Sus scrofa: one gene and its partner. The protein of the gene in region 2 interacts with the protein of the main gene of each other region in a pairwise test. Links are inferred from orthologs where the notes say so. Each region holds a gene or a part of one and is shown on either strand. Other genes may lie near its edges.

What was found. The genes of interacting proteins can lie anywhere in the genome.
Region 1: the proteins of CA8 (region 2) and SPDL1 interact in binary tests that used the Homo sapiens proteins (3 or more experiments, as listed by UniProt). The two-hybrid records come from large-scale screens. The link is inferred for Sus scrofa from reciprocal best matches to the Homo sapiens genes CA8 and SPDL1.

The regions. Positions count from the first base shown.
Region 1 is NC_010458.4:54,279,168-54,283,410, reverse strand, and holds the end of SPDL1 (protein Spindly), read left to right. Parts: coding exon 1-156; intron 157-2,772; coding exon 2,773-3,314; 3' UTR 3,315-3,489; downstream 3,490-4,243. UniProt on the Homo sapiens protein: Required for the localization of dynein and dynactin to the mitotic kintochore.
Region 2 is NC_010446.5:73,110,029-73,114,271, forward strand, and holds part of CA8 (carbonic anhydrase-related protein), read left to right. Parts: intron 1-893; coding exon 894-942; intron 943-2,530; coding exon 2,531-2,643; intron 2,644-4,243. UniProt on the Homo sapiens protein: Does not have a carbonic anhydrase catalytic activity.

The DNA.
Region 1 (4,243 bases), on a different chromosome or scaffold from region 2:
CCATCCAGCGAATGAAAGCATTATTAGAGAGCCAGAGGGCTCTGGATATTGAGCGAAAACTTTTTTCAAATGAAAGGTGCCTCCAGCTTTCCCAGAGTGAAAATATGAAACTGAGAGCTAAACTAGATGAGTTAAAATTGAAGTATGAACCTGAAGGTGTGTATGTGTCATATATTTTGTCTTTTATATCATGAGAAGCTCTGAGAACTACCAGTTTTTTCTTGTTCTAGCTCTATGCAAATTGCATTATAAACTAATTTGTAGCTATGTATCTATATTTAATAAAACAATTTTTTTTTTTTTTTTTTTTTGCTACAAAACGAGTAGGAAAATTCAGAGAGAACTGGGTACTAGATATGCATGAATATAATGGGTATTCTTGTTGGATACTGTATAGCACAACCTTGACCTTTGAGACTTTTCCATTTAAGATTGCAGCCTCTTCTGTTAAACCTCTTCTGTAAAAGAGTTCGGTTTTGTCAAAGCAACTAATATTTGGGAGCTATATTAGTTAATACTGTTGTCTAGGGAAATCTTATAATAATGGAGATTTAAGCAAGATAGACATTCTCTCCCTTATTAAAGTCTGGAGGAGGCCTTTTGGGACTGGTCAGTGTCAGGATCTAGGCTGAGTTTGCATTGTTCATCAACATGTATCTGCTTGAGCAGAATTTAGTCATATGGTCTTACCCGCCTGCAGGAAAAGCAGAGAAATTCATTCGGTCTTGATTCTTAGGGTCCATGCTCCCAACTAAATCTTGGGGATTCTATTACTAAGGAATAGCAGGACAGATAATAGAAGACAACTGTCAAGTCAAATCACTATAACCTAACCATATAGGTGCTGCATATTATACATTTTAAAGAAATGATTTTGGGGAGTTCTCTTGTGGTGCAGCCAGGTTAAGGATCCGGCATTGTGACTGCTGCAGCTCCAGTTACTTCTGTGGCACAGATTCAGTCCCTGGCCTAGGAACTTCCACATGCCACAGGCACAGTCCAAAAAAAAAAAAGTGATTTTACAGTATGTTTATTTAAAAAAATAAAAGGCTGGAGTTCCCGTCGTGGCGCAGTGGTTAATGAATCCGACTAGGAACCATGAGGTTGCGGATTCAGTCCCTGCCCTTGCTCAGTGGGTTAACGATCCGGCGTTGCTGTGAGCTGTTGTGTAGGTTGCAGACGCGGCTCGGATCCCGCGTTGCTGTGGCCCTGTGTAGGCCGGTGGCTACAGCTCCGATTGGAACCCTAGTCTGGGAATCTCTACCTGCCGCGGGAGCGGCCCAAGAAATAGCAAAAAGACAAAAAAATAAAATAAAATAAATAAATAAATAAAAGGCCAAAAATAAAAGGGTGTAATAGACCCCCCCAAAAGCATTGTGACTTGTTTTAGCTTATAGATTTTTCAGTGAGTTTTTGCCCCTACACTGTTCACATGCCTACAGCTCCCTCCATTATTATTTCAGTGACTATGGAATGATTCTTAACAATAGTGGGGAGGTCAGTGATTCTAAGGGTTTTTTTTTTAATATATATATAATTTTTATTTTTTCCATTATACCTAGTTTACAGTGTTCTGTCAATTTTCTACTGTACAGCAAGGTGACCCAGTTACACATACATGGATATATTCTTTTTCTCACTTATCATGCTCCATCATAAGTGATTAGATAATTTCCAGTGCATTGCCTATCCATTCCAAAGGCAATAGTTTGCATCTATCAATCCCAAATTCCCTAGTGATCCCACTCCCCCCACACCTTGGCAACCACAAAGAAAATCTAACGTTTTTTTAAAGTCTAAAAAAGCCTCTCTTTTTCCCATCCTTTTCCTCCTCCCTGTCCTGATTTTTTTGTTTGTTGTGTTTTCTTTTTAGGGATGCACCCACAGCACATGGAACTTTCCAGGCTAGGGGTCGAATCGGAGCTGTAGCTGCTGGCCACAGCAACACCAGATCTGAGCCACATCTGTGGCCTAAACCTTAGCTCGTGGTAAACCTTAGCTCATGGCAATGCCAGATCCCCAACTCACTAAGCGAGGCCAGGGATCGAACCCTCAACTTCATGGTTCCTAGTTGGATCTGTTTCCGCTGTGCCACCACAGGAACTCCATCCCTGTCCTGATTAAGAATGACCAATTATGAATTTCAAAGGTCTGCTGAACTGAACACAGCCAACGGGAGAAAGTATGGTAAATCTCAGTGGTGTGGGTTTCAAAGGAGCAGTGCAAGAGAAAGAGAAAATGATTGAATAACAATAGTGTAGGGCAGGAACACAGACCTCACTTTCAGCCATGGTTTCTCCAACTTCACTAATATTTTGATTTTGAAAATGAAATGAAAGACACATTAGTCTGGGGATATGCAAAAGATATCAGAACAATTAATTCAGTGGCTGTATATGGACCTGCATAGGAATGGAATGATGGATTCCTTCACTCTTAACCACTATGTCCTTTCTAATTTCCACGCTAAGATCTTGTGAAGCCCCGTGTAACTTTTATCATAACACTAGAAGAGAATATTTAAGTGTTCATTCCTAGAGCCAAATAGATTGAGTTCCCAAGGAAGATTTATAGCCAGATGACCTTGAAAAGATATAGTTAATGGAATCCATTGCAAAAAAGGATTAAAGATGATGTATTTCAGTAAAGAAATGAATGGATTTTAAAGGAATGGAAATGGAAAAAGTGAAAAAAAATATATAACTAGTTCTGCCTTCATGTTGTGTCTTTGATTTATTGACTAGATCTGATTCTGATTGTTTTTATTCTCAGAGAGAACTGAAGTACCTGTCCTCAAAAAGAGGCGTGAGGTGCTGCCTGTGGATATAACCACCCCTAAGGATGCTTGTGCCAACAGTGCTGTTGGGGAAGGCGTTTATAGATTATCACCTCAGAAAGAGGAGGCACCGGCCTGTCCTAACAGTTTAGAAGATAACAGCTCGCAGTTAGAAAAGACAGTTTCTATAAGCACATCAGGAGTCATTCTCTCTCCTCACAAAAATCTTCCCATGGATATTCAACCAAAGAAGGAAAAGAAATGTGTGAAACTTATAGGAGTTTCAAATGACTCTGAAGCCCTAAGTGAAAGAAGTGGAAACATCCCTAACTCTCCCAGGTCAGTGTCCTCTTTCCTTCAAGGCAGCGAGCAGACCTCTCCATCTCTTCTCTATCGCTGCATGAACTGTGCTATCTGTTTCTTTATCTATTTTCTTAGTATTGCATGTAGTATAATTCCCCGATTTCATCTGCCTGCCTTCCGATTTGCTAAAACATTAAGAAAAACTAAAATGATTGTAAAGGGAAAGGACTCCTGAATGAGGGAGTTATTTTTAAGTAACACTTTTCTGTGTCAGGAAGCAGAAATAACACAGTATAGTACATCTCTGAATGTTTTGTTGGTTTGAATAAATATACAGGGTTTTTTTTCTTTTTTTCTTTCTTTTTTTTTGTCTTTTTGTCCTTTTTAGGGCCTCAGCCACCACATGTGGAGGTTCCCAGGCTAGGGGTCTAATCAAAGCTATAGCCGCCAGCCTACACCAGAGCCACAGCAACGCTAGATTCGAGCCTAGTCTGCGACCTACACCACAACTCATGGCAATGCCGGATCCTTAACCCACTGAGCAAGGCCAGGGCTTGAACCCACAACCTCACAGTTCCTAGTCGGATTCGTTTCTGCTGCACCATGACGGGAACTCCACAGTTATTTTTTTTTCTGGTTCAAGAAGAGCTTGAAAGAAAAATTAGCTTACCTCCTACAAGGGTTTTCCATTAGTCTGAGAAGTTTCAGCCTTCCATAAAATTTTTAGGTGACATTTTTTATGGCTTTCAAAATTGTTTATCCTAAGCCTTTAAGAATGGGCTTTAATACCTGATTTGACATTTTTAAATATCAGAAGTAATTCATTTTCAATGTTTCTTTAATCTCTGTTGTGCAGCAAAGTGACCCAGTCACACACAGTTCCCTATGCTGTACAGTTGGACCCCATTGTAAATCAACTATACTTCAATAAAAAAAATTTTCAAAAAGTAATTCATTTTCAGTTTACATCCAAACTTTAAAGCCTCTAGTTTCTGCATATTTGAATCTGTGACTAAAAGAGGAAGTGTCAGACATGTGTGTCTGTAGGAACTAATGTTTTAAGGGCCTTACCCTTTAAGAAAAAGTTAAAATAATAGAGAACAGAAGGTGAGAGAAAGTGAGTGGAAGGGAAAGGTAGGTACAATGGCTGAGGTTAGGGTGGAG
Region 2 (4,243 bases):
CTGCCTGTTAGGCCTGACTCTTTAAATGGGACTGTTTAAAATAGTGATCAGTAGGAGTTCCCATTGTGGCTCAACAGGTTAAGAACCCAACTAGTATCCATGAGGATGCAGGTTCGATCCCTGGCCCCTCTCATGGGTTAAAGATCTGGCATTGCTGCAAGCTGTCACAAATGAGGCTTGGATCTAGAGTGGCTGTGGCTGTGGCTGTGGCTGATTCAGCCCCTAGCTTGCGAACTTCCATATGCTGCAGGTGGTGCCCTAAAAAGAAAGAAAAAAAAAATTAGTGATCAGAAAGGTGAATTGGTGAATGATGGCACAAATATTTTTTGAAATTTAAATCTCGTTCTGATAAATGTGTATGGAAATTCGACCTTTTCATTTGACTGGCAGTTCTTCCCTGGAGCAGGAGAGCATCTAGGATGGATTTTAGAGCTGAGTTACCACATCCAAATGGGGCACAATGAGAACTCGGAGGCAGCTTGTCATACAAGCAGGTTGGGAACAGAGATCACAGAACCAGGAGGAAAGTCATCTCAAAAGACTTCCTGAACGAGGGCCGGCGTCTCTGGTCTGGAGGTGCCAGGAGCAGGAAAGGTAGCTGACTTGGGACAGACAAACACTGGACAGTTTGCAGTTTCACACTGGGGATTCTAGGGAAAATTGAGAGGTGGTCATAAAGACAGTGCTACAGACTGAGAGCAGGAGTATCTTACTGGAACCAGCGGCCCCTGTTGCTCCAGTGAGACGACACATGGACACATTCTCAAATCTATGGGGTCTGCTGGTGCCAGTCAGGAAAGACTGCAACCTGGATTTTTAGTGCTAATGACTTTTTTTGTTCTAAAACTTAGAGATTTTATGTTAATGTGGGGGTACATTGTTTTCTTTTTCAGGGGAAGTCCAAAACAATACCCTGCTTTAATCCTAACACTTTATTACCAGGTAAGCGTTCATCTGGCTGCGTAAGATGAATTTGAACTGTGAAGATGACTGCTTTGTTACCCTCAGGATATATACAGCTATATCTTATTAGCTAATAAAGTGTCTCTACTATTGATATTCTCTGTATCTGGCACCAATTTCAGATTTCTCTAAACCTGGCAGTAAACCTTTTGATATAATAAATACTTTGCCACTAGCTCCATTGTGTTGTGTTTGTATTTTCAAAAGTGTTTCCTTTGTATTTTCATTTGTGCAAGTGATGACCTCTGTGTAAAGCACGAGTATAATAACTTAACCTTGTTGTGCATCTAAGATTGGCCAGCGAAGTTCTTACTAATCTCTGGCATGAAATAAACTTTATATCTAATTTTAAAAGATAACCTCTTTGCAGTCATGCTCTTTAGCTCTTATTCTAAATACTTAGGTATGTCCGAACAGGTAAGAGGTATGTACAAAATACTCAGAGTATACTTTTTAGATAGAGGTTGTTTTGGATAAAATTATGATCTTCACACTTCTCTGCTTAAATTATGTGAAAATTGTTAGGGTTCCAAACGAAACCGAATGCATTATATCTTCTCCTTTTTACATTTAATTGCTCTACAATGAACCAGTTTTTGCCATATGTTGAATATTTGCCCATCATGTTTAATCACAAATTCCTCTCACGGAGAGCTAAAAGGTTTCATAAGAATGATTTCTTTTATTCTATTATAATATGATTTTAATGTTTCTCTGTTGAGGAAGAATATAGAGGTAGTTAGACCAGAATGGTTATACACGTAGATTCTTTTTTTTTTTTGTCTCTTGTTTTTATTTAAAAAATTAGACATAGGATTTAGCATTCTTAAAAGACCCAAAGGCTCTAATTATCACACCCAGGAAGAATTCACACAATCTCTTACTTTAAATTCCAGAAGTTACAGATTATTGAGTTGTTGTTCTTGTTGCATTTTACAGGGATATTTATTTTAACTCAACTTTTTCAAAGGTCATTTAAATACACAGACTCTGAAACCAGACTGCTTTGGTTAGCCCAGAGGTCTTGGGCATATAACATAATCCTCTGTGAGTCAGTTTCCCCATCAGAGAAATGGGGCTAATAAAAGGACCGATCTCACTAATTAATGTAAAATGTTTAGAAGAGCATTTCACATGTAGTAAACATTCAGTAAATATTAGGTACAATCAGTCAGGTAAATCCTCCAATAAGGTAAAAAACCCCCCAAACTGTGGATATACTTCTCCTCAAGTGAGCAAACTTGATATATAAAATATACATCAAGTGTGTATATATATCACATAGTATATCAAGTTTATGTATATTCCGTTTGTATAGTCATAGTTAAGCGTGTATATAATTAATTGATAGAAATCACTGTAAATAATAGAAAGAGCATTCACCATGTTTTCTACTGATTATTTTCTCCTTATGATCAGTTTAAAAATACATATGCGAGGTTCTAGTTTAAAAATGGCATCAGCCTGTTATTTGGACAGTTTGTAATTTTGAGAATGGTTGGAATCTTCAAAATTTTTTTCAATTACCTTGCCTTCCCATGACATACCCTGTGGTTGGTTTGCACAGATCCTCTGCTGCGGGATTACTGGGTTTACGAAGGCTCCCTCACTATCCCGCCTTGCAGTGAAGGTGTGACCTGGATATTATTCCGATACCCTTTGACGATATCCCAGCTACAGGTGAGTGCAGTGCGTTCTTCCAGAAGGAAGGTCAAATGTCGTTTCTGGGAAGGGGCAGCATCTGCTTATGCTCAGGCTCCCTTTGGGTCAGTTAGAGCAGTCACACCTTTTCAGATGAAAGTCCAGTGCCTTGAACCAGTGAAAGCAATTTGAAAGGTCAAGGATGAACAAAACCCAGTAAATAGCCAATAATACCCAATCTGTGGTGTTAGAAGTCAGTTTTTATAGAGTAAATAGAAGTCACTGAAACAGTCAGACTTCTGATTCGTCTAGTTTTTCCTTTATATGGATTTTCCCAGGCATTGGAGAGGAGAAATGGAGGTAAAGTGAGAATGCCAGTTATTTCTGCAAGCCACACTCGAGCTTTGTAATAGTTCTTCCTTGGCTTACACAGGAAGGTTCTGTATGCAGAGGGTGAGGGAGAACTTCTGGAATGCCCTGGAAAGTTCTGGATTTGCCTTACATGTGGGCCTGTAGCCAGCCGGAAGGGGTGTGAAAGAACTCAAGGGGGATTTTTTTTTCTTTTCTCTTATGGTTTATTACTAGATATTGAACATAGTTCCTTGTGCTATGCAGTAGGACCTTGTTTATCCTTCTATATATAATAGTTTGTATCTGCTAGTTCCAAACTTCCAGTCCAATGCTCTCGTGCCCTCCCCACTCCAAAAAAAAAGGTCCCACAAGTCTATTCTCTATGTCTGTGAGTCTGCAGGTGGTGTACAATCTTAGATGACTAAGCATTCCCAAAGCACTGAGTTTTAATGTACAATATGTTTTATGATGCTGGAGATACATTTCCTGGCCTTTAAATGTCATTGACTCTGTTAATACACAGTATTTACTGGATATAATAACAATCTATGTCGTAGTCCTATTTTTTTTTTTTTTTAATCCTTGACGTGGGCTAATGTTAACATGTGATATTACTCCTTTGAGACTGAGCTGGTAATTTATTATTTCATGCATTGATTCATTTGGTGATTACTTGACATTTAGTATGTATAAGATACCATAGTAGGCATTGATGGTGGAGAACAAATAAGACGTACCCCTGACCTCCTAGAATTCACCGTGGGGGGGGGAAGGCAATAGGTTCACATTTAAAACCCAATAATTTCATGAGGACAGTGCCTTGGTATGGCATGCGCAGCCTGGGATCACATAGGAAAGGCACCTGGATGAGATTCAGCCATTTGGTAGACCTTTCCCAACCAGGCAAAGGGATGTGGCATGGGCGTTTGTGGGCATTGCCAGCAAGGGGAGAAATGTCTGCAGAGGCAGGAGGCAAGAGAAAGCACAGTGCCTTTGGGGATGCCCACTGCCAGTGTAAACAGCCAGTGACATGAAACGAAGCTGGAGAAGGGGGGCACGGGTTTGACCTGCAGCAAAGGGCTTTGGTGCTGTGCTGGGGAGGGTGACAGCAAGGAGCCACTGGAATGTAGTGAGAAAGAAAAAGCGTGACCAAAACGGTGCAGAGATGTGCTAAGATTGTGGCAGAGGCATGAGAGGAAGGTAATGGCTTTGGAAATAACAAAGAAGTAGAATCAGTAGAATTTGGTGACTGATGACCTAGGGGGGAACCTCGGGGAGGGAGGACCCA